Saccharomyces cerevisiae S288C: one gene and its partners. The protein of the gene in region 1 binds, or shares a complex with, the protein of each later gene. Each region holds a gene or a part of one and is shown in the gene's direction. Other genes may lie near its edges.

Evidence for each region.
Region 2: DUO1 (region 1) and SPC34 share a complex: the UniProt entries of both Saccharomyces cerevisiae proteins name them as parts of the DASH complex.
Region 3: the proteins of DUO1 (region 1) and DAM1 are in contact, whole or in part, in a cryo-EM structure (PDB 8Q84), measured with the Saccharomyces cerevisiae proteins. Residues at the interface, in NP_011454.1 of Saccharomyces cerevisiae: Glu67 (codon at 2,790), Ile74 (codon at 2,811), Leu89 (codon at 2,856), Tyr92 (codon at 2,865), Val93 (codon at 2,868), Gln95 (codon at 2,874), Val96 (codon at 2,877), Val99 (codon at 2,886), Cys100 (codon at 2,889), Ser102 (codon at 2,895), Thr103 (codon at 2,898), Ile106 (codon at 2,907), Leu107 (codon at 2,910), Ser109 (codon at 2,916), Trp110 (codon at 2,919), Ile113 (codon at 2,928), Tyr119 (codon at 2,946), Lys122 (codon at 2,955), Leu123 (codon at 2,958), Asp126 (codon at 2,967), Tyr129 (codon at 2,976), Ile133 (codon at 2,988), Arg136 (codon at 2,997), Leu137 (codon at 3,000), Leu152 (codon at 3,045), Ile156 (codon at 3,057), Lys159 (codon at 3,066), Glu162 (codon at 3,075), Ile163 (codon at 3,078), Leu166 (codon at 3,087); in NP_011628.4 of Saccharomyces cerevisiae: Ile59 (codon at 1,840), Gln60 (codon at 1,843), Leu63 (codon at 1,852), Ile67 (codon at 1,864), Phe81 (codon at 1,906), His88 (codon at 1,927), Leu91 (codon at 1,936), Ala92 (codon at 1,939), Asn95 (codon at 1,948), Leu98 (codon at 1,957), Leu101 (codon at 1,966), Leu102 (codon at 1,969), Gln116 (codon at 2,011), Pro118 (codon at 2,017), Ile121 (codon at 2,026), Asp123 (codon at 2,032), Asp124 (codon at 2,035), Leu125 (codon at 2,038), Ala127 (codon at 2,044), Ile128 (codon at 2,047), Gln130 (codon at 2,053), Leu131 (codon at 2,056), Leu134 (codon at 2,065), Glu135 (codon at 2,068), Glu137 (codon at 2,074), Lys138 (codon at 2,077), Leu141 (codon at 2,086), Leu145 (codon at 2,098).
Region 4: DUO1 (region 1) and SPC19 share a complex: the UniProt entries of both Saccharomyces cerevisiae proteins name them as parts of the DASH complex.

What each region holds. Positions count from the first base shown.
Region 1 is NC_001139.9:387,667-392,302, reverse strand, and holds DUO1 (Duo1p), read left to right. Parts: upstream 1-2,591; coding exon 2,592-3,335; downstream 3,336-4,636. Other genes in the region: protein kinase PKP2, read right to left, coding at 1-80; YBP2 (Ybp2p), read right to left, coding at 313-2,238; PYC1 (pyruvate carboxylase 1), read right to left, coding at 3,571-4,636. UniProt on the Saccharomyces cerevisiae protein: Component of the DASH complex that connects microtubules with kinetochores and couples microtubule depolymerisation to chromosome movement; it is involved in retrieving kinetochores to the spindle poles before their re-orientation on the spindle in early mitosis and allows microtubule depolymerization to pull chromosomes apart and resist detachment during anaphase.
Region 2 is NC_001143.9:508,966-513,385, reverse strand, and holds SPC34 (Spc34p), read left to right. Parts: upstream 1-1,588; coding exon 1,589-2,476; downstream 2,477-4,420. Other genes in the region: KAE1 (tRNA N6-adenosine threonylcarbamoyltransferase), read left to right, coding at 227-1,387; CAF4 (Caf4p), read left to right, coding at 2,753-4,420. UniProt on the Saccharomyces cerevisiae protein: Component of the DASH complex that connects microtubules with kinetochores and couples microtubule depolymerisation to chromosome movement; it is involved in retrieving kinetochores to the spindle poles before their re-orientation on the spindle in early mitosis and allows microtubule depolymerization to pull chromosomes apart and resist detachment during anaphase.
Region 3 is NC_001139.9:717,228-720,424, forward strand, and holds DAM1 (Dam1p), read left to right. Parts: upstream 1-1,665; coding exon 1,666-2,697; downstream 2,698-3,197. Other genes in the region: cytochrome oxidase assembly protein SHY1, read left to right, coding at 131-1,300; chromatin-remodeling histone chaperone SPT6, read left to right, coding at 3,182-3,197. UniProt on the Saccharomyces cerevisiae protein: Component of the DASH complex that connects microtubules with kinetochores and couples microtubule depolymerisation to chromosome movement; it is involved in retrieving kinetochores to the spindle poles before their re-orientation on the spindle in early mitosis and allows microtubule depolymerization to pull chromosomes apart and resist detachment during anaphase.
Region 4 is NC_001136.10:852,818-857,314, forward strand, and holds SPC19 (Spc19p), read left to right. Parts: upstream 1-3,499; coding exon 3,500-3,997; downstream 3,998-4,497. Other genes in the region: RKM2 (protein-lysine N-methyltransferase), read right to left, coding at 1-1,155; VPS64 (Vps64p), read right to left, coding at 1,462-3,276; RAV2 (Rav2p), read right to left, coding at 4,081-4,497. UniProt on the Saccharomyces cerevisiae protein: Component of the DASH complex that connects microtubules with kinetochores and couples microtubule depolymerisation to chromosome movement; it is involved in retrieving kinetochores to the spindle poles before their re-orientation on the spindle in early mitosis and allows microtubule depolymerization to pull chromosomes apart and resist detachment during anaphase.

The sequences.
Region 1 (4,636 bases):
GTGAAATCAGGGATCTGCGAGATATTAGATGTCCTGAGAAAGTGCCGGTATCTTATGCAATTAATTTGATACTTAGACATAATTACAGAACTATTTATCCATTGACCAATCTCTCACGATCTTCATCTTTTACGTACTTTCTGGGTTCCAATGCAAGTATCCCATCCCTTCCCTTTTTATTCCTTGACGATCGGGCGATGAAATCTGAAAAAAATGAAAGTTTGGATGACTCAAAACATAGTGTTTCCCTTTAATAGAATAATTCGATTTACTCGGGAACAAAAGAGAAGAGCAACTAATTTACTATGTAGTTTACGAGCGTATGTTCATCTCTTCTATATATTCTCCCAGAGTATTATTGGAAATGTTGATGAATGCTAATTCAGGCTCACCTTCTCCTTGAAATGATTCGGAGATTTCTTTATTGATGAGTGTTAACAGACCCAAATCCCATTTGTTCCTTAAACTAACAAAAAATTTCATATATGTTAGTACCAAGAGTAAATCACCTTGCGTTCTTTTCTTTTGCTTGGCGGCAGAAAAACATATTAAAGCAATGCTATGAATGGAAGCCATGCGATCTTCATTAATAGTGATGTAAGGTCTTGGAGGTAGAGTTGGCATTATCGGTACACTATTAGCGGTATTCCCAGGATTCTGTTGTTCGATTAAACCGACAGTTTCGTCACGATTAGCAGCCTCAGGAGATCTAATCATCATATCTCTTAGAATGTCAAGAACAGCAATCTTTGCAGTTATATATGGACAATGTAGTAGAGTTTCAAAGATGAACGTAAAAGATGTGCTTTCGGGCATGAGATAGAGTAACCTCCTCAGAAGAGTAATTTCGGTCAACTTAGTGTCGTTATTAGATTCATTGCAAGTTTTCATCAGTAACATCTGCAAAAAGGCCGTGGTAATGTGCCCTGGAAGTTCTTGTAAGGCACACTTTATTTTCTCTGTGGAAGTCTCGGTTGTGGATACCCATAGCCAGTAGCGTACTGAACTTTCCAAAAACTTATTTTCGTATATTTCTGAAAATAAAGAAGCTGTCGTACACCGTAGATAGAGGTAAATTGCGCTTTGGATATCAATTTGCGGCAATAAGTGAGTACCATTTTTAGAATAATGTATTGCAGATAGAATCACAACTCCATATTGGTCCAGCTCTAAGTTCTTTTCGTCAGCTAGTTTCTTGATTTGATATGCGTAAGATACCTCATATACTAGTTGGTTAATTTCTTCTTTGAATTCGGGCGTGGAAGCGGCCGGGTTCATGAGAAGAGAGTTATAGATGCTTCTTGATTCTACCAGGCACTTTTCTAAAAGTTCTTTCATGTGGACATCCAATGATGTGACATACTCGTAGTATTGGTGGCATATCTGTAAAACTGAAGCATCGATTTCATTTTCATCTGTTTTTTTATGCATCAATGTTTTGAAATATATCTTGTCAATATTACCTGGATGATTTTTTAGGCAGTTGCTAATCACGAATACGCTCAGATTAGCCAGTAGTTTTTTCTGTAAGGCAGATTCATCATCATGAATTTTTTCAAGATCGTTTGTACTAATACCATCGGTCAGACTAGCAGATGGTTGAGCTGGAGAGTAATTAGTACAAAAATTGTACACTATGCGCAAAATAAAGTGTGGATCATCCATAGCCTGAACGTTGGTTGTTACATACTTAATAATTGCAGAAGTTACCATGGCTAGAAATTTAGATGGATATAAAGTGTCCACACGTTTCAACAATAAACTCATAAATTCAAAGAGAACGTAAATTTTCAAATTTGGAATGAATTCTACTGTATTTTTGGCCATATAGTGCCCAATCTCCGGAGTGATAACTGACAGCTCATCAGTAATGTTTGACGCATCATTTCTATTGGAGTCATTTAAATCTTCATTCTCTTCATCGGAGTCGCCAGTTTCAGTTAAGACTATATGGAGTGTTGACACCAATTCGCAAGCGGTCAACAAGCATTCTTTCGGATTTCCATTGATGGCTAGCTCATTGAAGCATTCCATCACACTAGAAACAAGGGGACTAAAAACTAGATGTATATTGACATTGATGTTTTTGCGTGAGAAAAACTGCAATAAACCCTTTGGCAGATCCCAGCCAATTTCCTTTAAGGTAACTGGATTATCCTTAAGTATTTTCAATAGGGCATCCAAATAACGTTCCTTTTCTTTTATAGACTTTCCAGAGTTCACCTGCTCGTTGTACATATCAATGATTGTTACAAGTGAGACAAAATCATCCTTCTCCTCTTGGAAAGCCCTGACAAGGCTTTTACAAATTGTTTCAATTGACTCACCCATACTTTCTGAGCCCTTCCTCTTGACGGTGAGTTCTTTTAGCCTTTTAGACCCAGGATAATATGTATTTTCCTTTATTCTTAGATGAGAGGTTTTTGGACCTCAGCGCAAGTTAGTTTCACAGCGAAACGAAGGAAAAAAGAATAATAATTACAAACAAACGCCAAAATCAAACGCGATAAAGAAAGATAGGCTAAGTAATCTGGACTGGTGACTCAAGTATTACTAAAGAAGATAATTTGAAACTTGAACAAGTCTTCAATATGAGTGAGCAAAGCCAATTAGATGATTCGACTATAGACAAACTGATTCCACAGATTTTCAATGAGATGAGATCTAACCTCAATAACACGACCAATAAATTTCCAAAAAGCACAGGAGGTGGAGCAAGCGATAATATTTCGGCTAACAGCAATTCTATAAGATCGTTTAATTCAATCACAACGCAATCCTTACTCAAAGAATCAGAATCGTTAGATAAAATAACAGCAATGATAAAAAATGTTACGGCCGCATTAAAAAATAACTTGCCAGTATACGTTAATCAAGTACATGAGGTATGTAAATCTACGAATTCCATTTTAGATTCATGGATCAACATTCATTCTCAAGCTGGTTATATTCATAAATTGATGAGCGATCAAACCTATTTAAAGCTAATTAATGATAGACTGCACAATGAAAATGTAAACACAAATGATGAAGATGGGAGTACTTTACACAACGTGATAGCGTTGAAAAAGAAGGAGATCTTGGATTTGAGACAAAAATTAGAAAATAGGAAGGGTGAAAAGGATGCTGCACCAGCAAAGCCACCAAATCAAGGCTTAAATCCAAGGTACGGTGTGCAATCTGGTAGAAGGCCCGTTCCTTCGGCAGGAATTTCAAATAACGGAAGAGTAAGAAAGACCCATGTTCCTGCCTCGAAAAGACCTAGTGGTATACCAAGAGTAACTAACAGGTGGACTAAGCCCACTGCTAGCAGCTCAAGGAAGATGTTTCGCTAAAAGATGCTTTCGGGAATGTATCTAGGATTTATTGTATATGGAATTTAAATCGAAATAGTAGATAAATTAATGATGAAAAAAGGACACGTTAATTGGATGCGTTAAATTATTATTTTTTTTTTTATTTAACTTTTGTTCCTAATTATGTATTAGTATTTACTGGTCGTCAAAAAATAGGAAAGGTAAATAAATAAGATTCGGGTATATTATACATTATAAATGAGAACTAACCGGTTCATGCCTTAGTTTCAACAGGAACTTGGTCTTCTAATAGAACTAATAAATCAGAAGAGTCCACATTTTCACCATCAGAGACAAACACTTCTTTAACTTGTCCATCGGATGGAGAAGATATAATCATTTCCATTTTCATGGCGCTTAATACGGCTACAGGTTGGCCCTTCTTTATTAGTGATCCTTTATGAACTTTAACTTCAACAATGACACCTGCCATTGGTGCACCAATGTGTAATGGATCATGCATGTCTGCTTTGGATTTAGTAACAGTTTCCACTTTTTGTGATCTGTCAGCAACACGAATTTTTCTCATTTCACCATTCAAATCAAAGTAAACTTCTCTTTCACCGGTCTTTTTGTTCAAATCACCCACAGCCTGTAGCTTGATAATTAGCGTTTTACCTTGTTCGATTACAACTTCAATTTCTTCGTCAGTCTCTAGTGGAGACAAAAAGCTTCTTGTTGGCAATACAGATAAATCACCATACGTTTCTCTCATCTTTTGGAAGTCTTCATAAACTCTTGGGTACATGTTATAAGAAGCAACGTCGCACTCATCAACATCACCAAATCTATTCTGCAAGTCTTCTCTAATTTTTTCGAGATCAAATGGCTCTAGTTCCAGGCCTGGACGACAAGTCAACTTTCTTCTCTTGTTCCTTAAAACGTCTGATCTAAATGGTTCTGGGAACCCACCATATGGTTGGCCGATTAAGCCTTCGAAGAAATCCATAACAGAGTCAGGGAAATCCAAAGAATTAGCCAGGCGTCTCACATCATCGGAAGTTAATTTATTGGAGACCATAAATTGTGCCAGATCACCAACGACCTTCGAAGTTGGGGTAACTTTGACAATATCACCCAATAAATAATTGGCTTCTCTGTAAGCTCTTTTTGTTTCGGCCCATTGTTCTCCAAGACCCAATTGTTGGGCTTGAAACAACAAGTTTGTCAATTGACCACCTGGGATTTCATGTTGATAAACTTCTGGATCTGGGCCCTTCAAGTCAGCCTCGAAACAAGAGTATAACAATCTCATCTCTGCCCAATATGCATCTAGTTCA
Region 2 (4,420 bases), on another chromosome or scaffold:
TCAGAATGGGCGCTTGTCGCGTGCCAGATCGGGGTTCAATTCCCCGTCGCGGAGATTTTTTATTTTGCTTTTTATTCCTCCTGTAATATCGCTTTATACGGAAAAACTGAATTCTTTCATTATGATGAGTTCGAGAGTAACCATTTTTACTTCGTGCAACGATGCATATATTTATCTTTTACGTGAAGGGAATTCCCAAGCGTTCCCTAATGCAGTCGGGAGCAAAATGGTCAACTTGAACACTATCCCACCCAAAAATGGCAGGGACTACTACATTGCGCTTGGACTTGAAGGTTCTGCAAATAAACTGGGCGTTGGTATAGTTAAGCATCCGCTTCTGCCTAAACATGCCAACAGCGATCTATCTTATGATTGCGAAGCTGAGATGCTTTCTAATATTAGAGACACATATGTCACACCTCCTGGGGAGGGATTTTTGCCTCGAGACACGGCAAGGCATCACAGAAATTGGTGCATAAGACTCATAAAACAAGCACTGGCCGAAGCTGACATCAAAAGCCCGACACTAGACATTGATGTAATTTGCTTTACCAAAGGTCCCGGCATGGGGGCCCCTCTGCATTCAGTTGTCATCGCCGCCAGAACGTGCTCCTTACTGTGGGACGTGCCACTGGTGGGAGTAAACCACTGCATTGGTCACATCGAAATGGGGAGAGAAATCACTAAAGCTCAAAATCCTGTGGTACTGTATGTAAGTGGTGGAAATACACAAGTTATTGCATACTCGGAAAAAAGGTACCGTATCTTTGGTGAAACGCTTGATATTGCTATCGGTAATTGTCTTGATAGATTTGCAAGAACTCTGAAGATACCTAATGAGCCCTCGCCTGGCTACAACATCGAGCAGTTAGCTAAAAAAGCCCCTCACAAAGAAAACTTGGTAGAACTTCCCTATACAGTAAAGGGGATGGATCTTTCGATGAGTGGTATATTGGCTTCCATCGATTTACTTGCCAAGGATCTATTTAAGGGCAATAAGAAAAATAAGATCCTATTCGACAAGACAACGGGCGAGCAAAAAGTCACTGTAGAGGATCTTTGCTACTCTCTGCAAGAGAACCTATTCGCCATGCTAGTTGAAATAACAGAAAGAGCTATGGCTCACGTTAACTCCAATCAAGTTTTGATCGTAGGCGGTGTTGGTTGTAACGTGCGATTACAAGAAATGATGGCGCAAATGTGTAAAGACAGGGCCAATGGGCAAGTACATGCTACAGATAATAGGTTTTGTATCGATAACGGAGTTATGATTGCCCAAGCAGGACTACTAGAGTATAGAATGGGTGGGATCGTGAAGGACTTTTCTGAAACTGTTGTTACGCAGAAATTCAGAACCGATGAAGTATACGCAGCCTGGCGTGATTAACGATTTTTGTTACAGTTAGCCTAATGTTCACACTACGAATATATATATATATTTATATATGCCATACACCTTACATTTACAGCTCAGTGTATAACCTTGTGGAAGCGCGAAAATAAGCAAGAGACATTTGAAAATAATCAATAAACAAAGCTCAAAAAAATTAGATCATCACCTAACAAAATAAGACGTGGCAATTACAGAATGGGGGAAAGCTTGGATAGATGTATAGATGATATTAATAGGGCGGTGGACTCTATGTCCACACTCTATTTCAAGCCACCAGGAATTTTTCATAATGCCATCCTACAGGGAGCAAGCAACAAGGCAAGCATTAGAAAAGACATTACTAGACTAATAAAGGACTGTAACCACGACGAGGCGTATCTTCTGTTCAAAGTCAACCCTGAGAAACAATCCGTTTCACGTAGAGACGGCAAGGAGGGAGTATTCGACTATGTTATTAAACGAGATACGGACATGAAAAGAAATAGAAGGCTGGGCAGACCAGGGGAAAAACCGATCATCCATGTGCCCAAGGAAGTATATTTGAACAAAGATCGTCTTGATTTGAACAATAAAAGGAGAAGAACCGCCACTACAAGTGGCGGTGGCTTGAACGGTTTTATTTTTGATACCGATCTTATAGGATCCTCTGTCATTTCAAATTCAAGTTCAGGTACATTCAAAGCATTATCAGCCGTGTTCAAGGATGATCCGCAAATTCAAAGGCTCCTATATGCCTTGGAAAATGGAAGCGTGCTCATGGAAGAAGAATCCAATAACCAAAGAAGAAAAACCATCTTTGTCGAGGATTTCCCTACTGATTTAATTCTTAAAGTTATGGCCGAAGTAACAGATTTATGGCCACTAACAGAGTTCAAGCAGGATTACGACCAATTGTACCATAATTATGAACAACTTTCTTCCAAATTGCGCTTCATCAAGAAAGAAGTTTTGCTTCAAGATGATCGCTTAAAGACTATGTCACAGTACCATCCTTCTTCTTCTCACGACGTTGCTAAGATTATTCGAAAAGAAAAAGATGAAATTAGGCGGCTAGAAATGGAGATAGCCAACTTGCAAGAGTAGGGGAGCACTTCTCCTCAAGAATAGATATTTCCTTTGTCCTAATTGCATACATAGGCCACTGCAAATCATATAATTATGTATTACCTTACATCTAAATGTATAAAACCAACTGAGCGGATCCACCATGGGTCTGTCTCCTGTTAAAGCATGTAGCTTCATGTTTCTCACATAAACTTTCCTCATCGTAATGGAAAAAAAAAATAGTCATAAAAAAAAAACTAACCATGAATGACATATAAGATTACCACGAGCGAGAGTAAAAAAGAGTATCTCTATATGGGTTCGGGCGATACTAGAGGAGAAAGCTCTCTGGTAGCTAAACCAATCGAAATTATACTTAATAAGCTACCACATGCCATACTAGCGCAACAACAATTTCAAAAATATATAACGAGCCCCATCTACAGATATCTTTCCAAACTTCTACTGTTCAGAGAGGTGGCTTGGCCCGAAAGTACAAAAGATACCCAGAAAGGACAAGTAGGGATATTTTCCTTTCAAAACAATTATGCAGACTCTGCAACAACTTTCAGAATACTTGCTCATTTAGATGAGCAGCGATACCCGCTACCCAACGGTGCCGCTGAAAAGAATTTACCTTCTTTATTTGAAGGATTCAAAGCTACCGTTTCCATCATTCAACAGAGACTGTTGTTAGACAATGTAGACGGGGCCACGAATAGTGATAAGGAAAAATACGTTCAATTGCCGGATATTAATACTGGTTTTGTGAATAAAACGTACTCTAGAATTGACCTAACACATTTACTTGAGGATGTAGAAACTAACGTGGAAAATCTGTCAATCAATAAAACGTTAGAGATGGATGAGTTGACCAGATTAGATTCCATGATCAACGAACTAGAATCCAGGAAATTAAAAATCCTGGAAAGGGTTAAGCACATTGATAGTAAGTCTACCAATCTTGAGAATGATGTAACACTGATAAAGGATAGAATAAATTTTATCGAGGAATACAATTTGGAAGCTGATCGTGAACAGAGCTTACGGAAGCAAATGGAAGAAGAAAGATCATCTGAAGCGTCGTCCTTCACGCAAAATGAAGAAGCCATATCGTCGTTATGTGATGTTGAAAGTAAGGATACGAGATTAAAAGATTTTTACAAGATGCCCCATGAAAAAAGCCACGATAAAAACAGGCAAATTATCTCAGAAACATATAGCCGAAATACCACGGCTTTCAGAATGACAATACCCCATGGCGAACATGGAAACAGCATAACCGCATTAGACTTTGATACACCATGGGGAACCTTGTGCTCATCAAGCTACCAAGATCGTATAGTAAAAGTGTGGGATTTGAACCATGGGATACAAGTTGGAGAGCTGCCTGGTCACCTTGCTACTGTTAATTGCATGCAAATAGATAAGAAAAATTACAATATGTTGATTACTGGAAGTAAGGATGCCACTCTGAAGTTATGGGACTTAAATCTGAGTAGAGAAATATATTTGGACCATAGTCCATTGAAGGAGAAGACAGAAGAAATTGTTACACCATGTATCCATAATTTTGAGTTACATAAAGACGAAATCACAGCCCTGTCTTTTGATTCTGAAGCTTTGGTTAGCGGATCTAGGGACAAAAAAATATTCCACTGGGATTTAACGACGGGCAAATGTATTCAGCAACTTGACCTTATCTTCACACCTACACATAGCGACATTAAAATGCCTGCACGTTCATTAAACAATGGTGCATGTTTACTTGGCACAGAAGCACCAATGATAGGAGCCCTCCAATGTTACAACTCTGCATTAGCAACAGGAACAAAAGATGGCATTGTGCGACTATGGGATCTAAGAGTTGGCAAACCGGTGAGATTACTAGAAGGCCATACCGATGGAATTACAAGTTTGAAGTTTGATTCCGAAAAATTGGTAACAGGCTCGATGGACAATAGCGTAAGGATTTGGGATTTG
Region 3 (3,197 bases), 330 kb from region 1:
ATATTTAAGGGATTCTTATGCAATGATGAAATATTTTTCACCTATAACGCCGACTACTGAAAACAGAGGGCCATCTTAACCGTTTTGCATTCAGTAACCCATACTCAGGATTTAATAAAAGAGGAAAGCAATGTCTCTACTAGGCGCCAGGTCCACTTACCGTTGGTTTTCAATCGCTGCATCAATTCCGACTAAGAATGCTATTGGCAAATCCACGTACCTCTTAGCTTCAAGAAATCAACAGTACCGAGGCATCATAACGTCAACTGTAGACTGGAAACCAATCAAGACAGGTAAGAGCCCAAATGATGATTCTCGAAGAGAAAGATCCTTTGGCAAGAAAATTGTTCTGGGTCTGATGTTCGCGATGCCAATAATATCCTTCTATTTGGGAACTTGGCAAGTAAGGAGATTGAAGTGGAAAACCAAGCTGATTGCGGCATGCGAAACTAAACTTACTTATGAACCAATACCACTTCCTAAGTCATTTACACCTGACATGTGCGAGGATTGGGAATACCGTAAAGTTATACTTACCGGACACTTCCTTCACAATGAAGAGATGTTTGTTGGTCCAAGAAAGAAAAATGGAGAAAAGGGTTATTTTCTGTTTACACCGTTCATTAGAGATGACACCGGTGAGAAAGTTCTGATAGAAAGAGGGTGGATAAGTGAAGAAAAAGTTGCTCCTGACTCAAGAAATTTACACCATTTGTCGTTGCCTCAAGAAGAACACTTGAAAGTGGTTTGCTTAGTAAGACCTCCAAAGAAAAGAGGCTCGCTACAATGGGCGAAAAAGGATCCAAATTCTAGATTGTGGCAGGTGCCAGACATATATGACATGGCAAGATCATCAGGGTGCACGCCCATTCAATTTCAAGCCTTGTATGACATGAAGGACCATCCAATAATCGAGGAACACACAAGAAACGAGGCTTCACAAAACAATTCCACCTCTAGCCTGTGGAAGTTCTGGAAACGAGAACCTACGACTGCTGTAAACGGAACGCAAGCTGTTGATAATAATACATCGAAGCCTCGTTCTAGGCAGGAAATGCCGACAGACCAAACAATTGAATTCGATGAACGACAGTTTATCAAAGCAGGTGTTCCCATAGGCCGGAAGCCCACTATTGATTTAAAGAATAACCATCTACAATATTTGGTAACGTGGTATGGCCTTTCGTTTTTGAGCACAATCTTCCTCATTGTGGCTCTTAGGAAGGCGAAAAGAGGGGGCGTTGTGTCCCAAGACCAACTAATGAAAGAGAAACTGAAGCATTCAAGGAAATATATGTAAACGGCAAACTCCTCTGCCCATACTATCGAACTCTATCCAAGAAGCGCGTAATTTCACGAGCACTGCCTAAACGGTTTTCCACATTAGTTTTGCAACTACAATGATTCGGATATGGCACATTTACATAATTTAAACTTGTACATAACTAACACCTTTTTATCCATATACCTTATGTGCCGCTCAAGATATGAACATTGCGCGTTGCCCGGACAATATCGATAAATAATAGCCAAAACAAACATGTTTTATCGACGCATGAATCCTTTGGCGTTAAACTTGTCCAATTGCACTGAAACTTGGAGCGTATAAGCTCAGCAATTGCACCAAAACAATATCAGAAAAGGCTTGTATTGCCACTTTCACCTATGAGCGAAGATAAAGCTAAATTAGGGACCACAAGGTCTGCCACGGAATATCGTTTATCCATTGGTAGCGCTCCGACTTCAAGAAGGTCGTCTATGGGTGAATCCTCATCCCTGATGAAATTTGCTGATCAAGAGGGATTAACGAGTTCCGTTGGCGAATATAACGAGAATACCATACAACAGCTTCTGTTGCCTAAAATAAGAGAACTGAGCGATTCAATCATTACTTTAGATTCCAATTTCACGCGCTTAAATTTTATCCACGAGAGTTTAGCTGATCTTAATGAATCCCTAGGTTCGTTGTTGTACGGTATTATGAGCAATTCATGGTGCGTAGAATTCTCACAGGCGCCTCATGATATTCAAGACGATTTGATCGCTATTAAACAATTGAAATCGTTGGAAGATGAGAAAAATAACTTAGTAATGGAACTCTCCAATATGGAACGCGGGATTAAAAGAAAAAAAGACGAACAAGGTGAAAATGATTTGGCCAAGGCATCTCAGAACAAACAGTTTAACCAGCCGCTATTTCCCTCCTCACAAGTAAGAAAATACAGGTCATATGACAACAGAGACAAGAGGAAGCCCTCCAAGATAGGCAACAACTTACAAGTAGAGAATGAGGAGGACTATGAAGACGATACTAGTAGTGAAGCTTCTTTTGTTCTAAATCCAACAAATATCGGTATGTCCAAATCATCTCAAGGTCACGTGACTAAAACCACGCGTTTGAATAATAATACCAACAGTAAACTGAGAAGAAAGTCCATCTTACATACAATCAGAAATAGCATTGCTTCCGGCGCTGATTTACCCATCGAAAACGACAATGTTGTTAATTTGGGAGATCTGCATCCAAATAATCGAATATCACTCGGAAGTGGTGCTGCAAGAGTGGTCAATGGGCCCGTTACGAAGAACAGAAATTCAATGTTCTCAGGACGTGCTGAAAGGAAACCCACAGAAAGCAGACATTCTGTTGCAAAGAAAACTGAAAAAAAAATAAATACAAGGCCCCCCTTCAGATGACTACGCCCAACCCAACCAAAGAATTATCCTCCTCACAAAATATATCGCTAGCATGCGTGAGTTATGGATAAGAAGAATATTTGATGAGCTGACTGATTCTTTATAGCAATAGGGAGGAAGGCAGTACACATATCAGCAGTGCATGGGCACAACCCGCATTACAACGAAACATGATATATCTATATAAAAGAAGATACGGACAGGCGGTCGAGGCTATTACTGTGCCACTATGCGAGTCATGAATGATTTTTAAATTAGTTAGTACCCCTTTATATAACGTCTTCAATAAAAGTGCGGGAAAATTCGGGTAATATTTTCTATAACTGTCATTTTTTTTTCGTTATGTATGGCAAACCAAATTGACAAGAAACTGGACAACGGTTAAAGCAAAAGGAGGAAGAAAGATATTGATTTGTGCTTTGAAGAATAACCCAAGCGAACAGGTCATTAATTGCCTAGAATCTTTACATAGAATTTGCCTTTTATGGAAGAGACGGGAG
Region 4 (4,497 bases), on another chromosome or scaffold:
GATATCAGTCTCATTGATAGTGTAATCTCCCCAATAATCATGTTCCAATAGAAACGTTTTTACCTCCTTTTTGTCGTCGTCTATTAGTTCAATAATTTCGTCAGATATGTCTAAGTAGTTCCATTTGTTTCCGTCTACCACAAATCCATACTCGTTCAGTAAAAAATCATTTGAGTGTGCACCATAATTCAAAAAGAGCTCCTCGTTAATGTTGTCATAGAGGTGATCGCCGCATCTAATGGTAAATTGTCCAATTCCAATGATGTTTTCTCCTTCTGACCTCAACTGAGGACTTAACTGAGGATAGCAGTGCAAATCCGACTCACAAATGTGGTTCATGAAATCGACATACGGCACTAAAGTGAAATTGCTTGGGGAGTCCTCTATTTTCAACGGAATCTTCGCATAAAGACATCTTGAGTTTATAATAAAATAAACATGTACAAAAAGGGAGAATAACTCATCACTAGTAAATTTATCAGAATTTTTCGTACAGCTTAAGGAGCCGTAAATTTCATTCCATTTCAAAACCACCTCTGAAATGGTTTCCCAATCTTCTCTGACAAGGCCACTAATTCTTGCCATATGCTTTCGTGAGGCAGCAGGGAGATATTCAATCAGTGAATGGTAACGTGAATTGGGATCACAGTTCCAAATGGCTGGGATTGATCGCAGCTCCTCCATTGAGGGCCATACATCAAAGAATGGTTTCCAATCTGAGTAGATTTCATTGTGAGTCCATTTTGGCAATAGAAAATTTTCAACCAATATATAAAATGATACCAATTGAAATGATGATAAACTTAACAAAAACTCTTTCGATAATTCGGAATATAATCCATATCTAGGATCGGCCCAGGCTTTATTTTCCGCTTCAATAATATTGTCCTCATAATTGATTGGCTTTCTATCGATTGTGATACCAGGAATATTCAGCTCTTTATTAAACTTTGAAATATGATAGAGGATAGTGTGAAAATTTAGTTGCTTCGAGCTCGGTACTGATACAATGATATCGTTTTTTCTTATCGAACCGTGACTGAGGACGATCCCTCTGCCAGTTTCTGGCGATTCACAGATGCTGATGTTTGGTGCTATATAAAACTTATCTGATTTTTTCAGCCATGTTAGCAAGACATCAACCTTTCCTTCCATTCGCAATTTACTATGTAACTTTTTTGTAGATATTTATTCAAAATCTGTATCTTCGACAATCTTGAGACTATAGGTGATGAGTAGACGCATCCAGTTTTAGCTTGAGTTCCCGAATTTTTTTTTAATTTTACTTAATCAAGAAATCTTGAAAAAATGAAAAAAAAGAGTGTGGATCAGAATTGCAAAACAATATTCAAAGTATATGGAATATGTGCTTATTTATAATATATGGTTTTTCTCATTTCTACAGGACAAGCCCTGTTTTTGCTTTGTAGATTATGCTTGTAGTATTTTTCTTCTTTCGAGTTATTGTGGCAATTGCTTAACGGCCGTCGCAACTAAACCGAATGAAATGGCAACTACTCCAAAGAGCATTCCCTTACTAACTCTTGTTCTCTTGCCTTCGACGACTCCTAGTTCTTCAGTGCTTATTAATGTATCTTCGGTATCCTTTTTTTCTTCTCTTGAATCATTTTGTTTTACTTTAGCGTTATTGTCATTGTTAATACCACCATTAAAATTGCTTTGTGTTAAAACTAAATTTTTTCCCCTCTCTTCTTCTATTTGAAGGTTCAGCTCTCTTAATTCACTTTCGAGCTCCTGTAGCTTTTCATGGTTTTGTTTTTCCTTCAAGCTACATGCAGATTTTACTTTATTATTTTGTTGTTTGATTTCTTTTAATTGATCTTCCGATTCTTTGAGTAGCGCATCATTATTTTCTGATAGAGTTTTTTGTAAAGCCGTGCTCAGTTTCAGTAAATGCTTTTCATTCATATCAATCATGTGCTTATTGATGAAATCAAGGTTTATCGTATAGTTTTGCATAAAGTTTTGCATGGAATGTAATTTTTCCAGCTCTTGTTTTTCTAAGGACAGCTCAGTAGTCAAAGTTTTTATCATATTTATCAAATTTATGCTTGTACCTGCTGAATTGTTGATAAAAATTCCACTGAGAACCTCAGTTTCTGGACCTAAAATATCATCATCTAATTCTGAGTTATTAATATCTCCAAACATAGCTGCCTCAAAGGCTGCCCTTTGAGCCGTTGTTGCAGATGTTACACCAGCTTCGGTATAATTTTCCTTTAAATGAGATCGTATTGGAATGTGTTGATTATGATGACCTCTGTCTATCTTTATTCCGTTTATATTAGTGGAGTTCCCATTATTCTTATTAGTATGATCTTGTTTTTTCATCACCAAATTTGTGGGATCAGATACAGTGTTCATTAAGGGAATTACTGAAATCTCTTCCACATACGCACTGATTTTTCTATGTTCAAACTTTGAGTCAATATCAGTTCCCAAATCCACAGTATCACCAACTTTTAATTCTACATCATTTTGGCGTATTTTAACCCCATTAACAAATGTCCCATTGCTGGACTTTAGATCGCGAATATATATCTTTCCTGATGTAGGATCACAACTGAGACAAGCGTGATTTCTGGAAAGAACTCTTGAGTCAAAATTTCCGTTATCTGGTCTAACTTGTTGCGAAAATAAATCTCTTTTCGATCCTGAATTATTCTTGTTTACGCTATTGGTAACTGGTCGACCTAATTTAAGTCCGTCAGGTTTAAATGGTACAACAAGAAACTTGGTCTCAAAAGTTGCATTTAAGGATTTGAGTATAATAATATGTGTATGCTTCTTACGGGGTGATCCAGTTCTAAATAATGTCTCAGTTGAACCATTTTGGAATTTCGATAATTCGTCCAGTGCCGGTGGAGATACGGCTTCTACAGGAATTGTTACTTGTCCAGCCGGTGTTGGGTCTATTGAATTGTCATTTTGATCCTGACTTTGATTTTCAAATGGAGAACGGATTTTGTTGGCTAATATTGGGGATAATTGTTGCTGTTGTGAAACTTGATGGACGGAAGGTGGAGATGAAGCGGTAGGCAACAAATCTAAGCCTGGTGGTATGGTATACTGATCTATATCGACATTTGAACGGGATCCACTGCTTCTCGAGTTTGATCTAGCTCTTCCCATGGGCCTCTTAGGCGGTGACGTTTCTGGCGTCTTTGTCATTCCCTGCGAATTCGATTGATCCCTAACATAGGGAGAATGTTGCAGTTGCGGAGGGGGCCGTCTTCTTTTTTCCAGTTCTACCATGCCAAGAATTTACAGTTGTCTTCCTTCCTTCTAATTTCCAGTTGGTGAGACTGGTGACTATCCGTGGGGTCCGGATTGCGATTTACTTTCATTATGTATTTATTATTGGCGATTATAAAGTTTGTTTTCACAGGGCGTAGTAGTTAGCAACAATGAAAATGAATAATAAACAGATCACAGACGCATATATCTGTGTACGAATTGAAGGATAGGCAAAATAACCATGACAGATGCTTTGGAACAGAGCGTCCTTGCGTTGGAGGGAACAGTTTCAGTATTGAAGGATTCTGTGGAGTCTTTAAAATGTGCAAATGAGCCAAGCACGAACCTTGCATCGACAATGTTGCAAACCAAAAGGGTTTTCCGTTTAGTTCCCGAATATGATGTTGAAAGATCAAAATTAGATTTGATTGAAGAGGTAGAACCGCTGGTTAGGACTCTGGGCGATAAGTTACGTAAATCTATGGGTAGAATGCAAAGGGAACTCGATACTTTGCAGCAAACTTATGAATTAAACGATTTAAGGCTAAAGAAGAACATTAGTATGGATGACGATGATGCTCTGAATAGTCCAGACATGGGTCAAGAATACGAAGGCAGAGACGCGGACGACGTGGTTATGATGGCATCTTCTACTAATGAGGAATTGGAAGAATTGAAGAAACTAAAGGAAAAGAAGAAGCAACTGGAGAATAAGTTGGAAATACTCAAACAGAAATAGTTAGAAGTTTATTTTTTAAAGCATCCATTTATCTCTTTATCCAGTTTGTATTATAAATTATTGTTAATGTTATCGCTAGTAGATTACTTATATGTACTTAACTGTTTGCTAGCTACCAAATTTGCTTGATGGTTCGCCATCGAAGCTTTGAGACTGTTCAATTTGGCGCTTATACTGATCAAAGTTGGATCACTTGTAGATACTATTAACTTTTCACATTCCATGACTACCCTATTATCGAAAGTAACGCCCCTTCTTAATAATTCCTGAGCTTCTGGAAGTGTTATAGCTTCACTTTGAAAAGAAGAAATTATGTGGTTAAGTAATGTGGAATCCTGGACTTGTACACCGTTTTCTGAGAGGATCTTAGATAAAGTTTTGTTTCTTTCATTTGTCACTTGATTTCTTATTTGGTCGCAAAATGACCTGCCAGTTTTACTATCAATCTCGCACCAAGGTTTTTTAGTCACCTTAATTAGATTTCGTAGTTCTATGCAAAG